Linked DNA regions of Oryzias latipes. The protein of the gene in region 1 interacts with the protein of each later gene in a pairwise test. Links are inferred from orthologs where the notes say so. Each region holds a gene or a part of one and is shown in the gene's direction. Other genes may lie near its edges. The genes, in order: lnx2, mylip, phykpl, map2k5, c19h10orf88, scly and nmd3.

The links.
Region 2: the proteins of lnx2 (region 1) and mylip interact in binary tests that used the Homo sapiens proteins (3 or more experiments, as listed by UniProt). The link is inferred for Oryzias latipes from reciprocal best matches to the Homo sapiens genes LNX2 and MYLIP.
Region 3: the proteins of lnx2 (region 1) and phykpl interact in binary tests that used the Homo sapiens proteins (3 or more experiments, as listed by UniProt). The link is inferred for Oryzias latipes from reciprocal best matches to the Homo sapiens genes LNX2 and PHYKPL.
Region 4: the proteins of lnx2 (region 1) and map2k5 interact in binary tests that used the Homo sapiens proteins (3 or more experiments, as listed by UniProt). The link is inferred for Oryzias latipes from reciprocal best matches to the Homo sapiens genes LNX2 and MAP2K5.
Region 5: the proteins of lnx2 (region 1) and c19h10orf88 interact in binary tests that used the Homo sapiens proteins (3 or more experiments, as listed by UniProt). The link is inferred for Oryzias latipes from reciprocal best matches to the Homo sapiens genes LNX2 and C10orf88.
Region 6: the proteins of lnx2 (region 1) and scly interact in binary tests that used the Homo sapiens proteins (3 or more experiments, as listed by UniProt). The link is inferred for Oryzias latipes from reciprocal best matches to the Homo sapiens genes LNX2 and SCLY.
Region 7: the proteins of lnx2 (region 1) and nmd3 interact in a two-hybrid assay, tested with the Homo sapiens proteins (3 studies listed by BioGRID and IntAct). The link is inferred for Oryzias latipes from reciprocal best matches to the Homo sapiens genes LNX2 and NMD3.

What each region holds. Positions count from the first base shown.
Region 1 is NC_019878.2:17,477,234-17,481,535, forward strand, and holds the start of lnx2 (ligand of Numb protein X 2), read left to right. Parts: upstream 1-1,359; 5' UTR 1,360-1,546; intron 1,547-3,695; 5' UTR 3,696-3,842; coding exon 3,843-4,246; intron 4,247-4,302. Other genes in the region: protein POLR1D, read right to left, coding at 333-407, 857-882.
Region 2 is NC_019869.2:23,671,432-23,675,625, reverse strand, and holds the start of mylip (E3 ubiquitin-protein ligase MYLIP), read left to right. Parts: upstream 1-1,387; 5' UTR 1,388-1,561; coding exon 1,562-1,648; intron 1,649-2,245; coding exon 2,246-2,436; intron 2,437-4,194. UniProt on the Homo sapiens protein: E3 ubiquitin-protein ligase that mediates ubiquitination and subsequent proteasomal degradation of myosin regulatory light chain (MRLC), LDLR, VLDLR and LRP8. Activity depends on E2 enzymes of the UBE2D family.
Region 3 is NC_019868.2:17,086,759-17,091,143, reverse strand, and holds the start of phykpl (5-phosphohydroxy-L-lysine phospho-lyase), read left to right. Parts: upstream 1-1,444; 5' UTR 1,445-1,616; coding exon 1,617-1,675; intron 1,676-1,761; coding exon 1,762-1,880; intron 1,881-1,982; coding exon 1,983-2,142; intron 2,143-2,217; coding exon 2,218-2,292; intron 2,293-2,366; coding exon 2,367-2,454; intron 2,455-2,534; coding exon 2,535-2,651; intron 2,652-2,760; coding exon 2,761-2,843; intron 2,844-2,910; coding exon 2,911-3,136; intron 3,137-3,303; coding exon 3,304-3,458; intron 3,459-4,361; coding exon 4,362-4,385.
Region 4 is NC_019861.2:12,541,549-12,544,875, reverse strand, and holds the end of map2k5 (dual specificity mitogen-activated protein kinase kinase 5), read left to right. Parts: intron 1-718; coding exon 719-820; 3' UTR 821-2,649; downstream 2,650-3,327. UniProt on the Homo sapiens protein: Acts as a scaffold for the formation of a ternary MAP3K2/MAP3K3-MAP3K5-MAPK7 signaling complex.
Region 5 is NC_019877.2:24,550,484-24,554,753, forward strand, and holds the start of c19h10orf88 (uncharacterized protein C10orf88 homolog), read left to right. Parts: upstream 1-1,404; 5' UTR 1,405-1,604; intron 1,605-1,814; 5' UTR 1,815-1,887; coding exon 1,888-2,024; intron 2,025-4,270. Other genes in the region: ankyrin repeat and SOCS box protein 3-like, read right to left, coding at 1,203-1,404. UniProt on the Homo sapiens protein: ATPase that regulates mitochondrial ABC transporters ABCB7, ABCB8/MITOSUR and ABCB10. Regulates mitochondrial ferric concentration and heme biosynthesis and plays a role in the maintenance of mitochondrial homeostasis and cell survival.
Region 6 is NC_019862.2:2,930,308-2,934,755, reverse strand, and holds the start of scly (selenocysteine lyase), read left to right. Parts: upstream 1-1,587; 5' UTR 1,588-1,726; intron 1,727-1,755; exon of another isoform or gene 1,756-1,934; intron 1,935-4,448. UniProt on the Homo sapiens protein: Catalyzes the decomposition of L-selenocysteine to L-alanine and elemental selenium.
Region 7 is NC_019871.2:13,573,279-13,577,505, forward strand, and holds the start of nmd3 (60S ribosomal export protein NMD3), read left to right. Parts: upstream 1-1,309; 5' UTR 1,310-1,411; intron 1,412-1,717; 5' UTR 1,718-1,805; coding exon 1,806-1,849; intron 1,850-2,986; coding exon 2,987-3,121; intron 3,122-3,231; coding exon 3,232-3,328; intron 3,329-4,106; coding exon 4,107-4,187; intron 4,188-4,227. Other genes in the region: ppm1l (protein phosphatase 1L), read right to left, coding at 1-115. UniProt on the Homo sapiens protein: Acts as an adapter for the XPO1/CRM1-mediated export of the 60S ribosomal subunit.

The sequences.
Region 1 (4,302 bases):
GCCCAGAAAATAAAAATGTCTGAAAGCATATTTTCAATTCCAGGAAAGTTCACAGGGTTATACCGTTTTTTTTAGACATAGAATCACTACAGACACACAATCAATAAATAAATATTAATAATAAATTTAGTCTATATGTGTGTGCTTTTAGATGCCAAGAGAGACAAGTGTCTTTGGGAACCTGACGAATTATCTATAATAGAAAACTAGTTAAACACAAATACAACAATAATAGAAGCCTCCAAAAAAAACAGCTAAACCTATGAAGTAAGATTTTACATGGCGTTTTATGTGGAGGCTGTCAGGGATGACATTTCAGAACCATAACTCACCATCCTGCAGGGCCCATGGTCTCAGCTCTCACCCTGGCTCTGTCTGTCTCCTTGAGGAGTTCCTCTATAGCCCGTCTGGAGGAAAAGACGTAGAAAAATGCGGATAACAACAGAAGACCAAGATGACATAAAAGCTCAAGGGGAGACTAATATAATTATGTGCGAGCGAGGAAGAAAATAGGAGACGCGGAGGAAGTGAATCATAAGTAATTGGGACATCAGCGGTGTCCCCGTTTAACCCGACCAGCTGAGGCATTAGTCTCGCAGGGGGCTCTCTCTGATTCAGCCGATCTTATAGCACGTAGTGAGAACAGCTGTTGATTGCCAAAAGGCAGAGTGTGTTGACTGCTACACAAGATACACTCCGTCCCCTAACCAAAATAACCCCATAGCTACAGAAATGCATTATGCAAACATGCTAGCCTAATCTGGTGGTACCAGACACCATTCCCCCGATGTATTAGTTTAACCGAGCAAACGTAAACAAGTTAATCGATGATAATCTAAAAATAAAAAATACTTACTTTTCCAATTCATTATCTTCAGCCATTATGCCTGACCACCTAAAGACTTTAAAACGCAGAATTATTTCAGGAAATTTCTACAGGCTCATGTTAGGGGATTTATTTACCTCTGCGAGGTCCTTCTTTCGAGGACCTGATTTTATGACCAAAAGATGCCTGATCATTTCATTGTTTTATATTGTTAAACCATAACATTTTTTTTTAAATAAATAATGCATTTTTGTAAAATTCACGCCGTTTTTAGAACCCAAACATTTATTCTAAAGTAATTTAGTTACTAAAATAATAGTTGTAATTGTCACATTGAAAAACAAAAAATATTCCATGCCCTGTATGATCCCGAAGCTTTATCCGTTTATGTTATTACCTCTAACATATCGGAATCATAAACATATTAAAAGATTTTAATTCCCGCTGAATGGACGTTTTTGGGCAGGCGACATTGAAGCCACCTCTACTTTTTTTTTCTTTTTTTTGTGGATTGACAGCGGCAAACTCCGCCCAGTCTCTTTGACGGACAGCAGTGGGCGGGACCAGGCACCAAAGTGACGGGGGCGTTTTCGTGCAGGTTTGCGGAACGGGCCGTCCGTTGCGGCGACTGCGTGACTGAGGTCCCGCAGCTGCTAATTGTCCCGCCACCCCCGCCCCTCTTCGAGGCCCGGGCGCGGCGCAGAGGAGCAGCCTGAAGAGGTAACATCACATCTGCATCCTTTCACTGTAAGCGGCGTCAGTGTGTGTGATGCTGGCTTTTTCTGTTATTACCATTGTCGCCTCTTCTGTCCTCCCTTTTCGCTCCTAGGGGGGGTTGGACTCAGACAGTGAACGGGGGGTTTGAGAGATGGGGGGAGGGCTTATCTAAACATTGATGGTATCAAAAATATATATATATATATATTTTAGTAATTGCTTTGCAGATGGGGCGTTATTAAGGTAAATGCAGAAAATTGACAATAATAATTGAAAATGTAATTTACAGCAGGCTCAGTTTTTGTATTATTACTAATGCATGCAAAAAATAAATATATAATAATGTTCACATCAGTTCTCGTGCTGTCTTTGTGTGTTTAGTATTTGTAGGATGAAAGACATCCAAATGAGGTTTTTGTAAAATATCTGATACCTGGGTGCCTGATACACCTGAGTTTTTAAATGAGTGCCATAGAGTCTTTTGATCTTCTAAAAAGGAAACTCCTGCATGCCGCTGCCTAGTTCTCCCAAGATTAGATAGTAATCTGTGGGAAAATGAGAGCAAGTGCAGGACCGGTATCCTAATATAAAAAGATGAGCAAGTACAGCTTTGAACTCAGACAAGAAGGATTAAGAACGTGTCACACGCATCTGCAAGCCTTCACTTATTAAAAAAAATCAGCCCAGCGTGGCTTTTGTCTAAAATAGATTGTTTTTCAACTGCTTCCTGACTCAAAAATGCATTTACTGTTAAAACCGGAAGGCGTTATTTATTGATGAGGAGATTTCAGGGGCTTCTGCCTAAAAAAAGCCCTTGTGTGTTTCTGTTTGCTCTTGCTTGTGCATGTCTACAAGTCTGTGTGTGATGTGGTGATGTCACAGCTTTGTTACAGAGACAGAGAAGCCTTGTGTCCTCATGTTAAATTCATGTCCAGCTGCAGGATAGGGACAGAAGCAGCCAGTCAGACACAGACAGGAGCACGCACTTGAAGGAGGCAGAAATCTGTGACTACCGGCCTGGTAGCTAAGGAGACAGAGGAGACAGGTTGCATCAGAACTGGATAACTACACAGATGAGATTGAAAAAAAGAAAAACACAAAAAAGGGGGGAAAAAATCAACAAATTGGACTCATATATCATTGTCTGACAAGCTTTCAGCTTCTGCTGTGGAGGAGCACAGAGTCCTGCTGGGAGAAGTGCATCTGTTGTGCACCTCCTCTGCATCCTTTTCTGGCTACACTGTGAATGTCAAACCACACTGAACAGAACAGGATCCAGGTCGTCATGGAGACAGGAGCAGACCCTTGCTGGAACAGAGGCAGGTAGTCACTGTGGCTTGGCTGGCCCGCTGTGGGGAGAGGCACGCCCTCTGCTGTCCGCTAACAGCATCAGTTCCAGAGGGGCGAATGATGCTGATGAAGATCTGAAAGGCGTTGGATGTGAAACTCTGTGGAAACAATAAGCAAACACATTACACCACATTAACTCTGAAGACACGCTCTGCTTGCTGGAGTGCTATTTTTCACAATTTTGCTTTAGGCATGTTCCGTTTCTGTTGCAGAGGAGGGCAGCATCCTCCACACGTGGCCAAAAATATCAAGGGTTTAAAGGTTTCACAGTATTTTTTGGACTATTTAAATTACATTCCTGTCCCAGATTTTATCTCTCTCATTTTTTTTCAAATGTATCTTCTCTTTCTTTATTCCTGCTCTACTTTGTGTTTTTTTTCTGCATCAGGTCCAAATCTTTCTCCCTTGCATCTTATTCTACTTTTTTCTTCTCCCTCTTCTTTCCTGTCTGTGGCTTCTCCTATCCCACTTTCTCTCATCTGTATCCTCTCCCTACATCAATCCCAGATAATTCCCTCTCTGCGGAATTGGAAGATTGGAGTAGGCGAGAGTAAAAGAGAGATTATACTGTCAGATTAGCAGACAGGAGCAGCAATACATAATCTCAGCACAGTCACTGACATCCACATGGCACAGCCACAGTACTATAAACACACATTGCTGCCATCGGTGTCATGCAAACCCATGGGCACACGTGCATGAAGCATTTGCCAAATGATTGCGTGCACGACCACAGAAGACACTTGTTTTGATTTTTCTGAAACATCTGTTAAACTATTGCACTGTGCCCTCTGACCTCCAGGGAGATGCGTTATCAGCCACTGGGGGGCTTTGTCCTCTGCAACCTGTTCAGCCCGTGAAGCTTATGGGATAGAGAAGTGCGTAACCCTTGCCCTCCACACAACTGGAGTCATTTGTGCCAAAATCTGAGCTGTGCTGAAGGAGAAAAATGGGCAGCCCAGGCTGCGAGGTGGACGTCACACGGCCAACGGAGCCAACTCCCGAGACTCTTTGTCCAGAGTGTGGTCAGATCCACCGAACCTGGGAAAACCATCTCTACAACTACCGGCTGGAGGTGGACGACGACCTGGTGTGCCACATCTGCCTGCAACCGCTGGTGCAGCCTCTGGACACGCCGTGCGGGCACACCTTCTGCGCCCGCTGCCTGCGCAGCTTCCTCCAGGAGAGGGACTTCTGCCCTCTTGACAGGACGCGGCTGCAGCTGCAGGCGTGCCGCAGATCCAGCATCCTGGTGCACAAGCTGCTAGACAAGCTCTCCGTTTCCTGCCCTTTGAGTCCTGTCTGCTCGCTCAGCATGCCCCGCTGTGACCTGGAGGCACATCTCAAACACAGGTAAAAAAAAAAAAAAAAGTATGCGCACAGAGAACAGATCTGTAAATAAGTTAACA
Region 2 (4,194 bases), on another chromosome or scaffold:
GAGGGAATTTGGATGGCTGTCACACTAGATAAAAAAGCATTAAAAAAAACATTACAAGCACATATAAATTAACTAATAAAAACACTAAAAACCCCAAAAAATACTAACAAAAAAAAAAGGATTTAAAATATTAACAACAGACATCACATAGAAAAACAGCATAAAAGACACAAGTTGAACAACGTTACAATTAATGTTAGTTAATGCATCAGTAAACATTACTTAAATATTAAATAAAGTGGTAAGTGCCACTTTTATGCATGACTTTCCGTTACTAAATATATTATTTATCACATTAATCAGTGGTTAGCTAATGTTTATTTTTCAACCCTAATCATATTAAAGCACTGGGAGGTCATGGTGCAGAGGTAGAGAAGTTCCCCTCTGATCAAAAGGTTGCCGGTTTGGTTCCCGCCCTGCCCTACCATGCAAGAATCCTTGCATGGTAGATAGATAGATAGATAGATAGATAGATAGATAGATAGATAGATAGATAGATAGATAGATAGATAGATAGATAGATAGATAGATAGATAGATAGATAGATAGATAGATAGATAGATAGATAGATAGATAGATAGATAGATAGATAGATAGATAGATAGATAGATAGATAGATAGATGGATAGATAGATAGATAGATAGATAGATAGATAGATAGATAGATTTGTCACAATAACTTCAAATACAACAAATAATAATAATACTGATTATAAATAACACCAAAATCTATAAGTAACAACATTAGTTGGGCTACAATATAAATGACAGTGAAGTGTGTATGAGGTGTTGTGGAGTCTAAAAGCTGACAGTGAAATGATCATCTTTTACATCTATTTGAATTTTGTTCTATTTAAAAAAGAACATTTACAAAGCCTCTTGGATAAGAGGTGAAACGTCTTCTAACTTTAAAAACCAAGTCCAGATGACAACCCCTAAACCTACTACAATGGAACCAACCTGGACGAATGAGAGTCTTCATAGACATGTTTAAAAAAGAAAAGAAAAGAAAAGAAAAGGTAAAATTGGATGGAAAAAATAAGCCACTATGAAAAATGCATGTGAGCATCAAAGAGCAAGCAAACCGGAAAACTCTCCCTCTCATGAAAATCTATATTTAGACAGTAGTCTCATGGAATATTTACATGTTGTGAACAGAAAGGCGAACAGCACGACTCATTAAACTCACCGCGAGGTCTTCTGGAGTTGGAGAAATGTCTAATTTATTCAGTTCAGGTCAGTGAAAAGCCCCGAACTATAAGCATAAGCTTGGCCACACGGGGGCGCCCTCAGGAGTTAAGAATTGATCAGCTTTCCTGATTGGTTAAAAGATCTCAGAGAGAATGCTTAAGATGCCTCTGATTGGTCAGTGTTTAGTGGGCGGTGCTCTTCGCGGGTTTCATTGAGATAGGGTCCAGCTGGGGAGCGCAGATTCGGCTCGCGTAGTGAAAGCGTCTGAACGTGAAGAAAGCTTGATGTGGACGTGACGGTTTTGGAGAGGACACGAAAGTTGTTTGTTTCAGCGCGTGGCACACCAAAGATCCACGGACAGCGACCAAAAATGCTTTGCCACGTGACTCGTCCGGACTCGGTGGTGATGGAAGTGCAAGTCGATGCGAAGGCAAACGGGGAAGACTGTCTGAATAAGGTAAAGTTGAGCTTCAAATATTACATCACAAATTACTATGTTGTTTTTTTTTTAAACGCAACATTGTGGTTCAAAATCAACAAAGGTTTTCCACGTTTGCTTATTTTCTGGCGCTGAACTTCCTGTAAATAGATCCGCGTGTTAGCCCCCAAAACAAAAGCTTTGACATGTTTTCACACATAAATGCATGAATTCCCAGCTAAAAACTGTTAACTCTTCTCATGTCTGGAGCGCTTTTTTGGTTGCGGTGCTGGGGAAAATTGCCGGCGGTCACTTTTGTGCAGAGCTTAGTCACTAAGTGAGAGGCGCTGAGTGTCCGGGGTTACTAAAGTTCATTCTTCAGGAGGCGCACATGAAACTTTTCTAAACTTTTAGTTCTGGTTATTATTGGCGCAAAAAGACAAAGAGCTTTAAAATCACCTCCCTGTAGCTCTGAAAATCTATTGGTTTTATTTATATATAAAAATATCTATAATTGTGCTTTTGAGGAACAAGCTGTAACCTGCTTCACTTTCTGACTAATTAAATTACTTTATTTTTGTATTGAAGCAGTGAAACAGACGGCGTTGTGTTTTTTTTTTCTTCTCTTGCTTGTAGGTTTGCAGGAAGTTGGGCATCATTGAAGCGGACTACTTTGGGCTGCAGTTCACGGGCAGCAAAGGAGAGAATCTGTGGCTGAATCTGAGGAATCGCATCTGCCAGCAGATGGATAATGTGACACCCTGCCGGCTGAGGCTGCGGGTCAAGTTCTTTGTGGAGCCCCATCTCATTCTGCAGGAACAGACCAGGTACCAGCTCAGTGTTTGAACCCTCAACCCTCTTCTTTTTTTCTTCTTCTCCTCGTGGCTCCCTATGACTGACAAAGAGGAGAGCGCTCTGGCTGACTCAAAACAAAGGCATTGCTCAAACACCCTGCAGGCCGTGCAGTGGAAATGCCCTGTAGTAACCTCTCTCCGGAGCTCTTCCGGGGTTACTGTAGGTCATTTTGGCTGGAAATGTGATCCCAGCAGCTCCTCACGCTTCCCCAGAGACCCATTCTGACGAAACAGAACCCCCCCCCCCATGTCTCTGCTTCTATGAGTGAACCTTGTTTGTAGCTTTTTTTGTTGTTTTATTTCTCTAAACAAGCACTTTAACACTTTGACACGTTTGTAGATGTTCTCTGGAAACGGGCCAGCAGTGCCTTTTTTTTTATTTTTTCCCCCACCGCTTTTGTTTTCTCTCATGTGGGTCATTGAGTCACAGCTGAAACTGTGCCATTGGTGGACCCTTTGTTAGTTTTTTTTTTTTTTTTTTGTCAGAAATATGCTTAGCCCCAGCAGGAAAAAACTCATCCACTACTTTCTTTTCTTCTTCATGATTTGAGCCAACTGGACTGGGTCCTAGAAAAGTTAATTGTGCATTGTTTTTATAAGGGGGGGGCATGTCGCCGGGAAACCGACAACTTCACTCGACTTATTCCCTCTTTTTTATTTTATTTATTTATTTTTAATCTACTTATGTTGAATTCACTCATTATTTTGGTACATCAGATCATTTGCTGTTGTCCATGTTTGGCATCCTCTCCGGAGACAAATGTGATGGGGGGGGGGGGGGGGAATTGGGGGAGAGGGCACGGGGACAGTTGGCTGCCTCTGCTCCGACCGCCACTCGATTAGCTGGGGTTATCAGCAGATAGCTGGCGTCGGGTGAGTGGAGGGTGGTAGGGTCAGGCTAGAGATAAAGTGAAGTGACAGGGAACGGTATGCATGGCTGCAGCACACACAAACATGCTGTAACACTTACATTTTACTTTAAAAAAAAACTTTTTGTTCCATTTTTAAACTATAAATTGATCTTTTAGGGAACTTTGTTACTTAATTTGCATATTAAATCCCTATTTGTGCAGATTGTGGTGCAATTCTTTTAAGAACTTTTTCCTGAAACTTTTTAATAGCTTTGACTTGGCTTTAAACAAACTAATTAAAAAATAGTTTTCTGCTTAATATACTTCAAGCAGACACTCCTCATTATGCTCCTCTGCTGCACATTTCATGTGGAGAAAAGAATCAGGTGTTGGTCGTGACGTGAAGGGCATTTCCTGCAGGTTGTAGACGACTCGCGCTCGCTGTAGATGCGCTGGGCGGTTGGCACCTGTCTGTATAGGCCGCTCTGCAGCCCGCTTATGTAACCTGCTGACCTCATGGTGGATTATATAAGGATGTTGTGTGCTCTGCTGCCACATAAAGCTTTTACTGGTCACTTAAGTGTTCATGTGCACGCACACACACAGTTTCTGTAGATTTCCTATAGATTAGGAAGTTTCAATGTCTAAAACAATTTTTTTATTTTAGTTACTATGTTTAAACCTAACAACCTAACCTTAATGAGGTTGGGATTGCGAGGATTTGTTTTGTTTGAGAACGAATTAATCACAAAATCTTTATATTTTGTATATTCAGAGGTCAATAATTGCATATTATTTTCATTAGACTTTGGCTTAGCCTTTTATTGGTGGCATCTGTCCTTTTGCTTTTCCACAGATCTTTGTCTTTTTGTTTTTTTTA
Region 3 (4,385 bases), on another chromosome or scaffold:
GAAAAATCCATGTAAATCTTTAATCAGTACAACATAAACATCTCAAATTGAAACTAAAAGAAAAAAAAAGCCTTAAATCACCTGCTTTATCTAGGTCTCTGTGTGGTGGTTAAAAAGTGCAAAGGCTAAAGTACACTTAATGCTGCAACCAGAGTTAGCTTTTAAGTATTATACAATGAAATGCAATTATTTCAAATAAAAATAAAAATAAAGGAAATTTGATTACGTTTAGAGTTTGAGCTTTCAGGGTTAAAATCTGGCCTCCAGGGCCTGCCTTCTTGTGACAAACATGGTGCTACTATGCTAACTGTGGTTCACACCACAGTAGTCAAAATAAAGCTAGTCCTATAGCAAAAAGAAGAAAAAGGAATTGCACTAAAAATCTCTAAAAAATATATTTAAAAAATTGCACATCTAACACGTTTCCTAAAACAAACTATAAACAACAGTGTGTGCTCAGACTGACTCTGTCTGAATCTGAGCGACATGCAGGATGTGTGTGGTTAAATAGTAGTTGCATAGGTACGACTTGACTAAATGTCTTCATTTACATCCAAAGGAAATAATGAGTAATTTTTACTGCGCAATTCGCACATTTATGACGAAATTATGAGACAGCACGTGCTCTTTCACCAGAAAATGTGTCACGAACCTTACATGCAAAAAAAGTACTATCACTGTAATAAAGAAGGTATTATTGTGTCACGTCTCTACTAGCTACATACACGTATTTTCACGTGAAAACGACAAGGTAAAAAGCACGTTATGTCAGTAACACAATGCAACTAGTGACACATCAAGACGTTAGCCGGTTATGTTAGTTAGCTAAAGATTATAACCGTTATCTAAATATACTAGAAGTACGATATTTTATTTTGTTAAAGAAATTCCGGTTTGTTTGGCTCCTAACACAATTACTTAATTAAAAAAAATTGGACTTTGCATTACTGCGATAACTAATTAAAAGCAGCTAGCTTGGCCGTTTTACTTCACATAGCTAGCATGCTACAGCTGACCTGATGAATTACCTGCTTTCTATGGTTCCTTAGCAACCGAAGCGGGACACTGAATGCACCGGGTAACCAGAAGCTTTGCGGAATATTTATAGCCCTTGGACGATACCAATATAGAAAAACGTAATAGGTGGAACATTAAAAATTAAGGAAACGACGGAGCAAACATGTGACAGATGTTTTTGAATTAATTTGTAATCACATGCATTTTGAACTCAACAAGACCAAGAGGAAACGAATAAATGGCCTAAAACAAAATGTCACGGTCACCTTTGGATTTGTTAGAATAGCCCAATCGAAATAAAGCTACAGCGTGATTTAAAACAACTTTGAGAAAAATTACAAATTATTAATTATTTTTATTTTACAAAACATCAGACAGAGAATATTTGTTTGTTTTTCTGTTTTATCTTCCAGAAAAATTAGGCAGTGGAACTTTATGCAGCAGGGAAACAATAGCAGGAAAATGGGAAGAGACACGCTTCTCACGCATGCTCAGTGGCACAGTGCTAACCAGCTGAGTAGGAAGAAGAGTTGGGTAAATGTTTTAAACCTCCTGTAATCGACATATTATATGACTCACCGTTTCACGCTTTGCATGCTATGGCTGAAGAAAACTTTACTAAAGAAGAAACCCTCGCGATGAGACTAAGGCTAATTGGGTATGTGAAGTGAAGTTTTGATACTCTACTGTGCTATGGACACTTAAGGTACATGTTTCTTACAAGTAATTGTTTTTTTATTACAGGCAGTCATGTCGACTGTTTTACAAAGAAGACCCTGTCAAAATAGTGAGAGCAAGAGGACAGTACTTGTTTGATGAAAATGGGAATCGCTATTTGGACTGCATCAGCAATGTCCAACACGGTAAAATGCTTAGGGACCGAAATATGAAACAATTCTGCCTCCTAGTGGCCAAAGATTGTAAAAAAAAATGCAGATAATTGACCCCATGTTTACCCCCCACAGTGGGTCATTGTCATCCTGCCGTTACAACGGCTGCTGCAGCACAAATGGACCTTCTGAACGTAAATACTCGGTTCCTGAACGACAAGATAGTCCTTTATGCTGCTCGTCTCGGTGCCACTTTGCCTGACAAACTGTGCGTCTTCTATTTTGTTAACTCTGGGTAAGAAAGGCCCCGATATTTTTACAATTAGTCATTGATGGAATACTATAGTGACTGTTTATGCCTTTCCCACAGTTCAGAGGCCAATGACCTGGCCTTGCGCTTGGCCCAACAGTACACCCAAAACCAGGACGTCATAGTTCTTGACCAGTAAGCTCCATAGCTTCAAAAAATCTGAATTTACCCATTAACACCACCCTTAATGTAGTCTCCCCCTGAACCAGCGCTTACCACGGACATCTAATGTCCCTCATTGACATCAGTCCTTACAAGTTCCGGAAACTGGCGGGGCAGAAAGACTGGGTTCATGTGGTGTGTAGGTCTATGCACAAAAATTCTGATGGCGATGTTAACGTCTGCTTATCGGAGAGGATGCGCTTCGTCTTTTCCAGGCGCCTTTACCAGACACCTACAGAGGGATGTACAGAGAGGATCACCCCAACCCAGGCCAAGCCTATGCAGATAAGGTCAAAGACCTGATAGAGGAGATCCACAGGAAAGGTCGCAAGGTTCACTGTTCATTTTTATGAATATTCCTGTTAAGATTCACCACTCATCACTCATTAACTGTGGCTAGCACAATATATTTGAGTTAACTTGAATTGCTCTTTTGCATAGATCTCTGCATTCTTTGCTGAATCACTGCCAAGTGTTGGAGGGCAGATCCTCCTGCCCCAAGGATATTCCAGTAAAGTCGCCGAGTGAGTAGTGACTCAGCCGCCTTTTGTTTTTTGATTTAAATGTGATTGGTGCAAATCTACTTTGAAGGTACGTGCACTCGGCTGGAGGAGTTTTCGTGGCAGACGAGGTGCAGACGGGGTTCGGACGTGTGGGGAGTCATTTTTGGGCTTTCCAGCTACAGGGGGAGAATTTCTGTCCAGACATAGTCACCATGGGGAAACCCATGGGTAATGGTCACCCTGTGGCGTGTGTGGCAACAACAGTAGAGATAGCTCAGGCATTCACAGCGAATGGAGTGGAGTACTTCAATACGGTAAAATTATGTTCAACTAAAATTCTATTAGAAGAAAAAAAAAAGAAGCTTTTTTTAAGTAGATGCTCACAACTGAGTCCCGTATGTTAATCATTTAGTGAAATTCTTTATCCTGGTTTTCTGTGAAGCCAACACTTTAAAAATTTGTGTCGCACTGCTTGATGCAGTTCGGAGGGAATCCGGTGTCGTGTGCGATTGGCCTGGCGGTTCTTGATGTGATTGAGGAAGAGGACCTCAGAGGAAATGCCATAAGGGTGGGGGAACATCTGAAGGGGTTGCTCAAAAAGCTGCAAGCAAGACATGAAGTAATAGGAGATGTAAGGTAAGGAAACCAGAAATACCTTATTTAAAATCATTTTTAAAAAATGACAGTCGGTTGGGTGCTTCTTCTTCACTCAGCTGTTTTTACATAATTTCCTGGCCAGAGACCTTAAAATCGGTGCAATTTAGTACTTGGTCATCCAATAAGTAAACAGTAATAACTGAGCTTCATACACCTGTTATGTTTCAATTAAATGCATTAAAGTCCCACTCTGATCGTCTTTTGATCTACAGTCAAAGCGTCCCTAGTGGGCTTTTAATTATGATCGTGCCTTTTTCAGTCTAAATTTAGAAAAAACTGTTGTTTTCTAGAACAGTATCTGCAGAGCGGTAGTAGTTCATTAGAAATTCACCTCTGAGTTGTGGGCGTGGAGTAAGTCTGCCCACTTCCCATCATCCATCTGTTGACACTCTCCCATTAGCTGACAGCCCCTCCCACCCTAACCTAACATTAACGGTGCAACAAAAATGGCGAGCAATATTGGAGTTTTCCAGCCGTACAGCCTTGAGCCAGATTCCACCTAGGACGAGGAAAACAGAGACGTACATGGATCTATTTGCACACAGGTGCATCGAGATGCAGCGAAGCAGGGAGCTTGTGGCTTTTACCTTCATACCTACAAACTCCTTCCAACGGCATTTTGGTGTTTGCTCCTGGTTTACGATGTGAATAAAGAAATCAGCCTAATGTTCTTTATGTGTGTCCTCTATTGAGAGACAAATAGCACAAGAGCAAAACATGATTTTCATTAGAGCAGGTCTTAAATGTACCATTGTCTTTCATCTATTGTGGGATAAACTACAGTAACTAGTTTTGACTTAAAAACAAATGTCACTGTAGAGGTGGTTTATAAAATTAAGTCTACATGCATCCATGATGCTCACTGACCTTTGTCCTCTCTAGATGTGTGGGACTGTTTGCAGGAGT
Region 4 (3,327 bases), on another chromosome or scaffold:
AAATGGAGACATGTTTCATTTATGGACCTAACTAATCAAAATCAGTCACAATCATTCATTCATTCATTCATTTATGAGGAAAATAGATCATCAAGGTTACTTTAAATTTAGTACTTAATACATGCAGATGATTAAGCTTTCTGTTTTTCTTTAAAATTCCGACAAATCATAGTTCAAAATATGTTTATAATGGATATTTAACCAGTTTTAACATCATTCTTGTTAGGTTCATTAATATTTTATTGTCATTTTGTGACTCATTTTTAAAATTTATTTTCAAAAGTAGAGTTGATTATGCTCTTAACATAAAGGTATCATCTTTTTTTGTGGCTCCAATCTGTTTGGTAATAAACCGAAATATTAAAGTTGAATAGAGATAGTACTGATAGCTGTTTGGACTTTCTGTTTTATTAAGAAAACCAATTTTTTCTTGCTTTTTTATGACCAATTAAGTTCATTACAACATAATGGCTGTTTATACAATTATATAAAGAGATAAAGAGGAGATGACATTTATTGAAATGGGGAATTTCATGTTTATTTCTAACACAACCTTTAATTCTCCAACTCTATTCAAAAGAAAGTTGGGCTTGAAACAAAATATCTGTTTAAAGCAAATGTTATTGAAATGTTTTTGCTACTTCTAGTATTCTAATACAATATTTTGGAGGGTTGTCTTTTTTTTTAAGACAAACTTTTCTTTATCTTTTTTATGCAGGATCATCCCTTCATCATCCAGTTTAATGATGGAAATGCAGAGGTGGTGTCCATGTGGGTTTGCCGCTCTCTGGAGGAGAGGCGCACTCAGCAGGCTCATTAATGCCTCCAACCGTCCTCTGATGGACACAAACGTTTGACTTTAAACGTCTGCAAAAGCCTGTACAGTCAAGAATGTTTCCTTGTATGAAACCCTCACAGAACTGTATTTTTTGGACAAGAAATTGGGTTATTACATGCGATATATCAACTATTCTTTTTATTTTTTTTTAGCACAAAGTATTATTTTCAGTACCACCCTGCAAACCCGGAAATGTTCTGAACATTTTGATGAAGGAAGATAAATATTTATGGTCCAAAAGAGTGCACAACTTCAAAACCTGACAATCCAACATGATCAGCCTGTGCTTTCCTGTTTTCTATTGGGATATTATATTGCACATCTGGACCAGAGCAAATATTTAATATCAAAGTTATGAGATTTCTCATCAACAGGGCTAAAATTAGACTAATTCTACATTTTTTTTTTTACCATCAGTGTGATGCCCAGTAAACCTGCAGTGTGTCATTTCTGAACTCCGCAACGGAAAACTTCCACTTGGTATATTGTTGTCATGAAAAGAGGTTTTTATGTGCTTTGAGTCAGTTTACAGTTGGGTTGCACTTTGTTTTGTTGTTTTTGCAGATTAACTGTTTTTTTTCTCTCTTCATTTCTTCCTTGAAAATGAAAACATTTTAAATATAAAAGAAAAAGACAGGACAGTTTAGAAAAACCAAAATCATATATTTATTTTTTTTATATTTCACATTCACAGTGTGCCCAAAATATCTAAGAAAGTAAAGCAAATAGATAATCATTGAAATACCTTCAGATAATAGAACGAAAACAAAAATTCAAATTCTTGGTACACCAAAGAGGAGCTAAATGCTGAAATAGCTACAGGAAATTCAAAACTCTGACAGATCTCAATGGTCTTTATTTGCATCCAATGAAATCTAATTCATTCAAATGTAATCCCATTACTTATGTGGTTCACAAAGAAAACGGAGGGGTATGATATGTAGTGTAAGAATCAAGAGACACATTTTTGTTGTAAACTGCTGGCACATAAAGAATTATCTAATCTGTGAAATAGATTTAAATTCAGGTAAACCCAGAACTGCATCTTTTGACTAGCTGAAATGCTATCTCAACATTTCTAGCTCTTAAGAACTAAAACAGAATCACTCAAAAGATGGACGAAATTTCCAAATGTGTCTCAGACCCAAACACAGGCTAGATGTGTGAAGATGATCATGACACTTTTTTTTTGTTTTTGAAGGACTTTCCTTATTGAAAAACAAGCAAAGTTTTTTAAATTTCACATCTGCTACTTCTTTTCTCTGCACTTTTAATCATTTGATTACATAGAAGTTGTAACGATGATGTTTTTCAGAGATCCATCCAGCAATGGTACACAGTGTGTGTGTGCTGTAGACTGCAAAGTCGAGCACTTCAGTCCTGTGCTCTTTCAGAAGCTCATCAGGGAACTCTGCTTCTGCTGGTTGTGGTTAAAACTTCAAATACAACATTTTTAAGTGAACTTGAAATGTGATTTGTGGACCTGAACACGTTAGCCTTAAATGTTACAGATTTACAATATATTTAGCTCAAAAAATATAAGGAATTATTGTTTATGTTATGATTCTGCTATGAACGAGGGACTCATTTGTGTGTCTTTTTTAATGCTCAGCTTGATGACAGCATGTCTGGTGTCCTGCTCGTATTTTGTTCTTGTTCAAACCACAGAGTCTCTGTTTAGTAATGATGCGCAGCAGAAGCCTCAGTGCTGTGAAATGACTGACTGAACAGGCCGCCCCTTTTTTAACGTTTTTTTTATGTCTGTTGGCACAAAACATGTTAAATAAAAGTTATTTGAACAAACGTTCACAGTCGAGGTTTAAAGGTGTGTCGATTATTTAGGAAAAAACTGTTTCCGTCTAGACTTTTTGTTAAAAAGAAACTGTTATTATTATCTGTTACATATTTTACAATAATAAAAGACCACAGACTGATGATGGAGGGAGCAACGATAGTAAAAGAAGTGCAAGAACGTGCATCAGTCTGTCGACTGGAAAATGTGGCAGTTCATCCGATTCTCTACCCAAAATCTTCCGGGGATGACGGTGGACTTCAGGGAGGAACCCCACCCCCACTTACAACCCTCAACAGAGGTTCCTATGGCCCCCCACCATCTCAGGGGACCTGAAGTGAACCTCCCACATAGACTCCATCCAGAAGAAGACCCAGCAAAGATTGTACGTCCAGCATATTCTGATCATCTTCTACTCTGTGATAATCCCGTCTGTCCTGACCTCATCAATCATGATCTGCAACCAGACGCGACAAGGAAAGACCGCAGGGAACCATCAGGTCTGCAGAGAGGATTATAGGGTCCAACCTACCCTCCATCCAGGATCTGTGCTGGTCAAGGGTTGGGAAGCAGGCTGGTAAAATCCCCATGGACCCCTCGGACCCCGGCTAAATTCTTTTATAGACTCCTCTCCTTGAGCCGGTACGTCAGAGCTCTGTACGGCACCCCCCCTGCCACAAAGACTGCTTCCTCCCCT
Region 5 (4,270 bases), on another chromosome or scaffold:
TCACGTAGAAAATACGCTGAGTGGGCCACAAGCTCCCACTGACTAACATATACATTTGACTATGGACGGTGGAAATGTGTCAGTGCTGGTTTTACTGGATCTCATTGATGCATTTGATACAGTTGAGCACGTTTTATGACTCATATGTCTGGAAAACGTGGTGGGTCTCAATGGGCCAGTACTTAACCGGTTCAAAACATGCTTGGAAAACAGAACATACTTTGTGTCCTTTGGTAACTTCACATCGGAGAACAGAAATTACACGAGGAGTTCCCCAAGGCTCCATCCTGAGGTCGCTTCTCTTTCATTTCTACAAGGATTAAAGATCTGGACCTGGAAAAACTAGCATCATTAGTTAACCTGACTATCGTAACAGTGTTTTTACAGGACTACCAGAAAAACCTGCAGCTCATTCAGAACTCCACTGCTGGTGTTCTCACACATCAGTCTGGTTCTGAGGCCTTTGCTGGATAGATTTTTTAAAGCTTTGAATGGTTTAGCGCCATCACTCGTGATGTATTGACTTTCTGGTCATCGGGGTCCAGTTTTGTGTCAGACCCTAGAGTCAAAACCAAAAAGGTAGATCTGGAACAGACTTCCAGAAAGCCTTAGATCAGCTGAAACACTCTATTAAAAACCCCGTTAGACACCCATCTGTTCTCAGCTGCACCTGATCAGTTTGTACTCAAACGTTTACAACCGCACCGTTTATCTCTGCTTGATCTAAATTCTGTTCTTTTTCATGTTCTTTCAATCTGATTTTAATGATCACTCCAACATTCCTGTTGAATGTCTCTTTTAATGTTTCATGTAAAGCAATTGTCTTTATACAAATAAACTTGCCTTGTCTAAAAGGTTCTTTTTTATTTTTATTCTTTTACAACTGAATAAGTGTTTTCTTGGCCTTTTAGTCAGACGCCAACATCAGCCTTTCATCCAAGGATGAGGAAATGTACAGGTGAGTCTGACAGGTACTGCAGTCTCTGTGGTGGGAGGCCAGAATCCATTTATTTTGTGGTATTTATCCTCTCAACTATAAAGGCGCTTTAAAAAGATGTAGGAGGCGCTGGTCCAACCGGAACCACGATCACAGCTTTAGGACACTAAGTTCTTGTTGGTCCTCATCAGACCAATGGCTGCAGTGTGAGCTGACGCACCATAGACTCTGCGCATGCCCAGACCTCCAGCTTCTTCCTTCTTACCGTGCAGGGCAGCCAGGATTTCTCGCACGCACGCGCTGCTGCCGGCTGCGGCCGCCTCGTGCAGAGCGGTCCAGCCGCGGTTATCCCGGGAGTCGATGGGACAGCCCCCACCAAGCAGGGCTCTTAGCCGCCCCGCGCGACCCGCGCGCGCGGCGGCGGCAACGCTGGACACAGTGTCCGCGTAACACGCAGTAAAGTCCATGCCAGAAAAAAAGACACTGATAAACAACCGGTCACGTGTTCACCGACGTTCACATCCTCGAGTCGCCGGCTGATGACGTCACGCACCCAGAGCCCATTGCCGTCCTGGGTGTTTGCGGCAGCTGACGAGCTCAAGTGTTGTCTTCATTTACCGGTTGGATTCTGTTTCTCCTAAAAGAGCGCCGCCCCGGTGGGGTGAAGGTAAGAGACCCCGGGGGGGGGGGGGGGGGGGCGGGGTTAGGTCCCAACATGAAAACACAAACCTTTGCGTCCACGTGACGTCCCCCCTCATGTCCCAGAGTGAGCTGATACTCTGGTTCTCATCGCTCACCTGAGACAGGTGATGCCCCTGATAAGCCCAGCATGGCGCCCGCGTCTGTGTTGAAATTCACGGGAAGGTTTTTTTTTTAGATGATGGAGTGAACAGAATACCCCTTTGTCTGTGCCCCGTCCCGCCTCCTGCCAGGTGGGGTCCCGCATCAGGATGGTGGACGTCTCTGTGAAGGGTGATGCTGCTTGGGTCTGTCCGGCAGCGGGCCGTCAGCTGGCTGAGGTGTTGCTTCCTCTTCCTCTCAGTCATGAAGAGGAGCTCAGTCAGTGGGATGAAGAACAGGCTGAAGGGTAAGGAGTATCTACGTTCACCTGAGACGTCAGGTAAAGGCTAAAACCCTTGACCTTTGGTCCATACATTGACTCTATGAGAGAACTGGACTGATCCATACAGAATGGTTTACTTCCATGTTTTTCCTTCCGTCATCTGTCCAAAGTTTAGTCCAAATGAACGTCCTGACATGTGTCCACCATTGACTGTATATAAGAACTGGACTGAGTGACCCCTGCCCTTCCAAAAAGAAGTACCTGCTGGCTCCAATAAGACTTCTGTAGAGACATAAACAGCTGTTATTCAGTCATTGATCTGTCAAAGTAACCATTCTTGCTCTGCTACCTTTTTGACATCCTGAATTCAATTATAAACACTTCTTAAATGCAGGTCATTCCAGGTCTAAACTGCCCAATCAGATGCCTCAATAAAAGCCTGTCGTCTCACATCAAACATTTTAAACCTTTGATTGACAGTCAATGGTCACCATACTATCTTTGAAACAAGTACCCATAATCCTCCACTGTATATTAAAAAAAGTAGGGAACCCAGAAGACTGGAATGATGTCTTGGTAATATCATCTTTACATTTGAATTGAATGTCTATAGTCTGCTCGTTTTGACAGATATTCTTTTCCACAGTAGTGGTTTTATGGTATCCGTGAACAGGTACCTGAAAATGGAGGACATTCCTGTTTTTCTCTGGTTCATCACACCTTCCAGGTGTATCTGGCATGTGGCACGCTAAATGTGGGTTCTTGACGCGCTTTTAGCCGATGGCGTTCACACCTGACAAGCAGGGAGGGGATTCTTCTTCTTTATCTACTGTTACCCAGCTCATGTCCACCACCTACAGTTTAGTGCGAAATATCGAAAATCGCAATATTGAAGTGGTGCGAACATCATCAAGACTTTTTATGACGTATGACAGACTCTGTCTTATACAGTGATGCAAAAAAGTATTTAGTCAGCCACCAAATGTTTAAGTTCTCCCACTTAAAAATATGAGAGAGGCCTATAAATTACATTATAGTTATAACTCAACTATGAGAAAAGGAGAAAAAAATCCAGAAAGTCACATTGTCTGATTTTTCAAGAATTTATTTGTAAATTATGGTGCAAAATAAATATTTGGTCAATAACAAAAGTTTAACTCAGTACTTTGTTATATTCCATTTTCTGTAAGTCTTCACAAGGTAAAGACTTACATTCCTGCATGGTCCATTCCTCCATGCAGATCTCCTCTAGAGCAGTGATGTTTTGGTCCATTCCTCCATGCAGATCTCCTCTAGAGCAGGGATGTTTTGGTCCATTCCTCCATGCAGATCTCCTCTACAGCAGTGATGTTTCGGTCCATTCCTCCATGCAGATCTCCTCTAGAGCAGTGATGTTTTGGTCCATTCCTCCATGCAGATCTCCTCTAGAGCAGTGATATTTTGGTCCATTCCTCCATGCAGATCTCCTCTACAGCAGTGATGTTTTGGTCCATTCCTCCATGCAGATCTCCTCTACAGCAGTGATATTTTGGTCCATTCCTCCATGCAGATCTCCTCTACAGCAGTGATGTTTTGGTCCATTCCTCCATGCAGATCCCCTCTAGAGCAGTGATGTTTTGGTCCATTCCTCCATGCAGATCTCCTCTACAGCAGTGATGTTTTGGTCCATTCCTCCATGCAGATCTCCTCTAGAGCAGTGATGTTTTGGTCCATTCCTCCATGCAGATCTCCTCTTGACAAGTGATATTTTGGTCCATTCCTCCATGCAGATCTCCTCTACAGCAGTGATGTTTTGGTCCATTCCTCCATGCAGATCTCCTCTAGAGCAGTGATGTTTTGGTCCATTCCTCCATGCAGATCTCCTCTTGACAAGTGATATTTTGGTCCATTCCTCCATGCAGATCTCCTCTAGAGCAGTGATGTTTTGGTCCATTCCTCCATGCAGATCTCCTCTAGAGCAGTGATGTTTTGGTCCATTCCTCCATGCAGATCTCCTCTAGAGCAGTGATGTTTTGGTCCATTCCTCCATGCAGATCTCCTCTAGAGCAGTGATGTTTTGGCCCATTCCTCCATGCAGATCTCCTCTAGAGCAGTGATGTTTTGGGGCTGTTGTTGGGCAACACAGACTTTCAACTTCCTCCATAGATTTTCAATGGGGTTGAGATCTGGAGACTGGCTAGGCCACTCCAGGACCTTTCAATACTCGTTACAAAGCCACTCCTTCGTTACCCGGGCAACGTGTGTTTGGGCTGGTTGTCCTGCTGAAAGAC
Region 6 (4,448 bases), on another chromosome or scaffold:
CTTGGATGGATGAGCCTGCCTCAGGTCATCCAGCCTAGAGAGCATGCTCAGTAACAACCAGGTGATGTACATGCAAACGGGTGGATCTGAAGTCTGAGGTTTGGAGCGTATCACCAGGTGTTTGTCATTCCTAAAACGCTTGTTTTAGCCTGTATTCTGTGTCTCGTGGAAATTTTTGAAGTGAATCCAGTTCAACATTTTTACACTTTCAAGTGTTTCTTTGAAGTATTGTTTTTAGTCTTTCTAGCTGGATACACAAGGTCGCATCAACATCCAACCATCATGATGGAAACCTTTCATCCAGCGGTACTTTATCATCATGAGTGTGTGAGTGTGTGTGTGGGAATTGCTCACTGTCTTTTACTGAGCTCCATCATGTTTTCATCTGCATCACATTTGAACCAACCAAAGTTTTGTTGCTGCACTTATAGAAAGACTCACACTGAATGTACTGTGCTTCTGCTCAAACAGCTTCTGGATCCTGTTGTGGTTCCTTTATGATTGTAGAACGGAAACTTTTAGGAGAACCACATGGAGACTAGAAGAGGCACTGGAATAACCTGCTGGTTGATGCATGGGAGGATTTTAGCTCTGAGTTGCTAATTTATACCTTGTACAGAAATCTGCTACTTTCATGCTATTTTCTTGTCACTCTTCCCTCACCATCACACTCTGGCAGTCTTTACACAAAATACACATTTTTCTAATCCTATGACATCATTTTACGGTCATAGCTGACATGTCTGTGCTTCCACATCTCTTTTCTGCATCCGTACATCTCCGTTCTTTCTTCAAATTGGCAGTGTATATAAACACGAGTGCTGTGAACAGTGTACTATAACGTTTCACCCATGTACAAACTCAATGGGGAGTAGTTCAGTCTGTGTCTGAGTGTTGGAGTTTAGTGTCAGGTGTTTGTGTACACTAAACACCTTGTCATATACTAAATAAACATGGAACTTATGCAACACAAAGAAGTGTGTGTTTTGGGTTTTATTTGATTTCTTTATGGGAGGGAGATCAGTCTGTACTAAAAGTAAGGGCAGCATACTTGCAGTTTACTTTCTTTTTATCCTATCTATATATTGTAAACTAAAATGTTCCAATTTAGTCTAAAGAAGTATTAACTTATTATACTTCCTATGCTACACATGTATACTAGTATATTTACTACATATATATACTTATATATAATTATACTTACTTACACTTACAGATATACTTAGTAAAATAAACTTCAAGTGTTTACTTTTTCCTATAAGGGCTACTATTAAATTTTCTCAAAAGTACAGTTTTTACTTTTGAAATGTATTTATTAACAGATAAAGGCTGGGAATGGATATTTGAAGGCAGTGCGCGTGCGTGTGTGCACAGTTATAGTGATCATTTCCTTCTATGATCGCTGTCATGTATTGATGGATGCTGCACTGTGCAATAGAATACGTAAACGCGTTTGTGTTGATTTGAGTAGAATGTACATAAAAATAAATTAACGAGCTCACGCGCGTGTGATTGTAGGTGTTTGTCTCAGCGTTTGGATGCGTGTGCGCGCACGTGCGTGTGTTTCTTTGACATTTTTTCCCCTGTAGAAGATAATTGCTGGGTGCACGTTTGAGATCAGATCTGGCAACCCGGCGAGCCCGAGATGCGACTCCTGAGCTAGCAAAGGACAGGCGGGAACAGCCAGCAGAAGTCCGGGAAAGGCATCTCTCTTTCACCGCTCAAGGTCAGATTGAAGGTCATTCGTCCGTTCTTCCGCCAGAACAGGAGAAGTTCGTCCCAGTCGGCCTATATATGTCGGAGTCGGACGAACTGGTTGAGCAGCCAGAGTCTGTTAGCCAAAGCGACTAGCTAAACAAGCTAAACCTAAAGTAAACACAATCGACCAGTCACCAGGACACATTCTTCCGGAAAGCTGCGGTTCCGGCCAGCAGGTGTGTTCGGTTCGGACCCGTGTCGCCTGTCTGTTTTTTTGTGGAGTTCTGTGAGGACTAGAATCGAGTAACTCCGTCTGAACTTGGTCAGACATGTTTAACTCCAAACGTAGACTCCTTCGGAAACCTGGCTGCTCGCCTAAAACATCTTCTATAGCGCACGCGCTGTTTCCGTGTTCGCGTCGCTTTATCTCATCCTGTAGAAACCTAGCAGCGGTGAAAAACACAGTTAAACCAGCAGTGGAACATGTCTGGGGCTTATAAGAACGTTGACCCAGTTTCCTGCATGACTCCATTTTTAGCTCTGTTTGTTTGTTTGTTCTTGGGTTTTGAAATCCATCATGTGAGGAAAAACTCATCGACTTAACCCATAAGAACCCAGACCCATGAAATGATGTGTATTTTACCACAAAATCCATTTCTAATGTTTTTCTGTTATATTGATGTCACCATGGGTTCTTCTTATGGGACAACGAACTAGGAGCGAAAATATCTTAAGACGAAGAAAGTGGAATAATTTACCAGATGAAAAGAAAACTGGACTGGAGTAGAGTGGACAGTCATGGAGGGCTGAGAGCTCAGCAGGAACTGACATCTGTCTTTATCTGCAGAAGTGAAGCTTTCACTGTATAAATCATTAATAAATACCACAGAGTTTTAAGGCCAGTTTACAAACAAATTTCTTGTTTTTTAAATTACAACTTTTATTTACGAGAGAAAAAAGTCATAACTGTTCCAATACGAGATTAAAGTTTTCTGTTTATCGGAGCCTTGCTTGAAGATGAAATATGTGGAGCGTTTTGTGAAGCTTTATTTCTGGATAGGTTTAAAAAACAAAGAGATTCTGAACCTTTTGACGACTCAAAATCAGATTATTGTCAGTGGAGCCGGCTTTCCGGAGTTCGGTGTCACTAAAGCGGAGTTTCATATGTAAAATAAGGAGCTCAGAGACACGTTTGGGTGTAGAAGACCGCTGCAGCCTTTATTCTCCTTTTCATTCACACACCCTGAAGTTCATCTGTCTCATTACGTCATGAACTTGTCATGCGCACAACATCAATGCGGAAAGTGAACAATGTTACATACTTCAGATGAAACGTCCCGTTTCAACATAAAACAGCAAAGATGAATAAAAACAGTCTGTTATATTAGCATTAGAACGTTAAAAATGCCAAAAAGTGCGTCTCTTCAGACGGAAGCGTCACACAGATGTAGAGATCTTGTCTTTGGAGGAGGAAGAAAGGACTGAAGTGGACGGCTGCAGAGACACAGACTTCTTTTTTTTTCTTACAAACAGCGAATATGTCGTCATCGATTTCACGAAGGGAAAATCTCAATGATACTAGCGTTTGCGGCGACCATTTATGAATCCACTGTGTTCTATGGTATTTAAAAAACACATTTATATATAACTTTTTTTTTTGCAAAAATTGTTCAAACACTGTGTATTTTGGTCTACATAGATGTGATCTAGTGAGCAATCGATGCCCACTGGGGTACACGCCATATAAAAAAATGCATAAACTAATGCACCTGCAGGATGTTATTCTTTACAACTTTAGTGCCACTGCTAACACTACAATTCCCATGATGCATTGGGTTAAAGTGACAGCAACTCTTACTGTGCTGCTGCTTAATGTCATAAAGCACAACAAACGTAAACGTGAAACGGACAAATTGAATTTCAGATTTAAGCACTTAAAAAAAATTGAGGTCAAGTTTAAATAAAAGTAATTTGACACAGGGTTATGGTTAAGTGGCCAACAGAGACATTTAAACTAAATTAAAAAGAAATTATTCAATCAAAAAAGTTTTTAGTTGTTGAAGTTACATTGTTTTTGGACAAAAACATTACTATAATGTTGTTCTTTTTTGTGTATGCATAATGTCATTATATAATTGTTCAAAAATCGCAGTTGCTTTGGCATAAACAAAAATAAAACATTTCAATGAATTAATAACTTTAAAAAATATATATTATTGTTTTTATTTGATTTGTTTTGTAAGGTTACATGAAATTGTATTGGAATGAACTGGAGGGAAAATAACTACTGTGAGGAAACTGGAGATTCTAAACAGGACTGTAAAATAGGTAATTAGGTTTGTTCCCCTTCAGCTTCCTGCACACAGAAATAATGAATAATGACTCAGAGACAAAACTTATCTTTTGTAGATTTACTCCGCACAAAGACCACAGATTTGAACGCAGGGTTACAGACAGATGAACACAGTGCATTCAAAGTCCGAACAAAGGGGTTCAACAAAAGGCCTGGCATATATACCTTGCATTTGCATATTCAGAACCTCATTCGATGGATCATGGTGTGAAAAACCCACCCACAGACTGTTGCAGGCTAGATGCTCGAACATCAGAGCACCGAAAGTGTTAGATCTCTCTGAGGTTATCACAGACATTTGCCAGAACGCATACACCAGAACACACAAAGATGAAAAGGGATGATGTTAAAGGAATGTTTGCGAGACAATAGTCTTGGTTGTGCTCTGTTTGGAGTG
Region 7 (4,227 bases), on another chromosome or scaffold:
AGTAACTCCACAGAGCCAAGCTGATGCACAGCAGGAACAGGGTCTCCGGTCTGAGCAAAAAATAACGCATGATCCGACCTAACAGCGACAGCAGGGTCATCGTATCTTCTATCATCTATTTGTCTCCGTGCACGAACTCGCGGCAGGTTGACGGTCGATTATCCAGCCGAAGATTTCACTCCATCATTCATTCCACGCAGGGAGACATTCAGATAAAACTGGCCGAATGGCAGGGGACACTTCACCGCATTTTGGAGACGAGACGCACCGAGCAGCCGGGTGTATTTATTTACAGACCGGGGAAACCCAACGCGGAGCTCCGGCTGGTGTGCAGCAGCCCCGCTGCAGGCAGCGAGGCACTGACCTACCAACCAACAGCTGAAGGTCCAAGACTCCAGCGGACGCCCCTCTACATTTACGACTAAACCCGCGTTTCAGCCTTCACTGTAGTAGACCAGTATGGGAAGAAGCTCAACGACCAGTTCAGTCACTTATGCCAACCCTGAAAAATAGCGCCTGAGCTGCGTTCACGCTCCCGGTGGCCAGACTGACTGAGAATATGTGCTGCTGCCTTTCTTTCTAAAGGTTGGTGCTGCCTTCAGGTACACCTCGTTCAAACACATCGCCGACAGAAACACACCAAATTAATGTTTTTGTTTATTTTTGAAAACTCTGCACAATCGGAGAGAAAAGCGTTGCTATTTATCCTCTGTTAAGAATTAAGTGACCACTGTTCAAACTACAAAAAAACAAAACAGAACAAAAACTTCATAAAAACAAACAAATTAGGAAGAGGCGTAAAGAGACAGGATATATATATATATATATATATATATATATATATATATATATATATATATATATATATATATATATATATATATATATATATATATATATATATATATATATATATATATATATATATATATATATATATAACTATATATAACCACTTAACAGGACTGACAGAACGTGTAGTTAGTGCTAATGCATTACGGTTAAAAAGATGTTACCCAAAGCACAGTACATTCAACAAACATGACAGATGTCACAAAAAAACAGTGGAAAACATGCATTAAGTTGTTGCAATGGTAAAATGGGACTTATAAATAAAGCAAAATGTGTGTCAAATCAAGCTGTCAAACATATTCAAACAAGAGAGAAAATTAATCAGAAAATTAACAACACGCCATTTGGAAATAAAAACGTGTAATATGATATGTTTGTATTCAAGACAGCATAAACAAATTTCAGCTCGGCCATCAGGTGCAGTAATAATAATTGTAATTATGAAATATATTCAGGCACACCAAGACAGCTACTGGGGTCTTAAAAGTCTGTGTGACGCACGAGCGGTCCCTCGGTCCACGGCTGGCAAAACGTGGACGACGTTTCTTCACGGTTTGAGGTTAACTTTCAATCATTACTCCTTTTCTGCGTCTTGTCGGCATTTTTTGGTCAAATATAACTTTGGGAAAAAGTACAATACGTGCTATTGAATGTTTGTGAGAAACTACGCTAAGTAGTGTGTTTCTAAAACGGTCGGTTTAGCACACGTTGCTAACTCTGTTTTTTTTAGCGTTGCTGTCTGCTGACAGCACGAAAAATACGTTTGTGAAACCTTTCGTCAGAGTAGCCTACTTATAGAACATTGTTAATTATCTAACTTTTATGTCAAACTCTCAGTTATCAGCACTTTAAATGTTATTTTCAGGGAGGAACCTGTGTTGTTCTTGCCCCTAATGGTTCACCAATCTACAGAAATCATTGTTTTAAACTGAGCTGCAAGGCGGATTACCACCATGGAGTACATGCAAGCTCCTGCTAGCAGCAGCCAGGGGAACATGTGAGTCAAAACATCATCTCATTCTTTCAGTTTGGTTTAAAATTGATGCATAAAAAGTTTCTTGGAAATTGAGAAAACATCTGAGGGGATGTAAAATTTCTCATGTATACATGAGAAATTTTACAATTTATACATGATGTATTGCTAGGCGGTCTGGTTAAAAAAGAATTTGGAAATTTATTTTTGGTAGATTAGTAGTCAAGTTACTTTTAAGCTGTCCAAATATTGGACATTTTTGTTGTCACTTGTAAAAGGAAAAAAATGTTTTAGTTCAAAATAAGAGTAGTACCTCATATCTGAAATCTACTCATCTAAAGGTCGGTCATGCATGAGAGCAGTTTAGGTGTGACTTGTTTTTAATCTGTTCATGACACGTTTTGTCATTTGAGTTTACTGTGACCACATTCTTATTGGAAACTGACACTCCTCGAGAACAGCTTAAAGACCCACTCTGATGTAAACTGTGTTTTTAACATGTTCTTGTGGTGTTTTTGTGATTATTTAGGACACGTCAAGAAAAATCCTCTTAAAATTGAATTTCTGAGCATTTCTTTAATCAAATAGTTGCTAATCGGGAGCAGCTCGAAAAAGAGCTTATTTGTGACATTGAAAATATGCCGGGCTAGCCACAAGCTCTCTGCTCTGCGCAATTCGGATGTATCCACATGCAGACAAACAGATCCACGTACGTCTTCTTTTCCTCATCTCAGCTGGCATCTGGCTCAAAACTGTACGTCTGGATAGCTCTAACATTGCTCGCCATTTTTGTTGCACCGGCAATGCTAGGGTGGGGTTGTGGGAGCGTGTATCAGATGGATGATAGAAAGTAGGGGCAGGCTTACCCTGTACCAAAAGCTCCGCCCACAACTGAGAGATGAATTTACTGCCGCTCTGCATAAACATTCCTAGAAAACAAGTTTGTTTTTTTTTGGCTAAAAACAATATGATCCTAGATAAAAGACCACTGGTGCTTTTAGAATAGATCTAAAAATGATCATAGTGGGATTTTATAAAGTGCTTTTGTTCTAGGGCTTTGTTTTAGGACGGTACTTTTTTTTTCTTGCCCTCAGAATTTGCCACTTGAAAGCCATTTTGAATGATTTATCTGATTTAGTATTTCTGTTTTTTTTTTCGCAGCCTCTGTTGTACCTGTGGTGTTCCCATTCCTCCAAACCCAGCCAACATGTGTGTAGCCTGTTTGCGGACTCAGGTGGACATCTCAGAGGGAATCCCCAAGCAGGTCACAGTACACTTCTGCAAGCAGTGTGAACGGTTTGTCAAACATTTGCTTAAAACTTCCCAGTTTTTTGTTTTTCTTTAAAGATGGCCCACGCTCTGAGTTTTCTTCTTTGAAATGTTGAGGTATCTGTTGTTTCATGCAGGTACTTGCAGCCACCAGGTACATGGATGCAGTGCGCCCTGGAGTCCAGGGAGTTACTGGCCCTTTGTCTGAAAAAACTGAAGAGCTCAATGACTAGAGTATGCTTGATATTTGTTTTTTTTATTTTAAACGTACAACATAAGGGTTTTATTTCAAATCTTAAAACTGTTTTGATTTATTAAAGAAAGTGATGTTAGTAGATTGTAATCTTTTCCGGGAACCAGCAAATTCAAACCTGATCCTACGTTCACACCAGGCTCAAAAATGTGGGTTCAAGCAGCCACTTTAAAAAAAAAAAAGTCTATGCAAATGCACATAAATGTGCATTTCAGGCTTCTGCGTACCAATCGCATCGCCATTGAACACATGTTGAACTAGTTGAACTTTGACCATAGAGGGGCTCAGACTTGGTAGTGACACATGGGTAGCGTCCTTTTCAAAACACGGAAGGAGAAATTAATCATTTTGGTTTGTGTCCGGCTGGAATTCTATGACACCAACTCTTTCTAATATCGGAATAGAGCTGTGAAAGAAAAAGCCTGGAGGAAGATTTGCACCGCTTTGACATTTTGCAGCAAGCCTCCTCTGTGAGTAAATGCATTGGGTAGCGACAGTCCAATTCTGAACACCATCCAATAAAAGTGCGTTCAAGATGCCTGTTTTAGCGCCTTCGTGAACCCGCATCACATGCCTGGTGTACGTAGCATTACGCTTCCATGCCAGTGATTTAAGGAAACAACAAACTAATAAATTCTCATCTGAGAATAGTTGAATCTTTATATTAGGGCTGTTGTTTAGATGATCTGTGAGATGGATTATGGCTATTTGTGATGATGTGTAAATTGATGCCATTTTGTGGCTCTTCATCATACTCAGGTGCGTCTCATCGATGCTGGTTTTCTGTGGACAGAGCCTCACTCCAAGAGGATTAAAATGAAGCTGACTGTCCAGAAAGAGGTGAGGAAACTGAATGGAAGCGTGAGAAAGTGACCTTCAA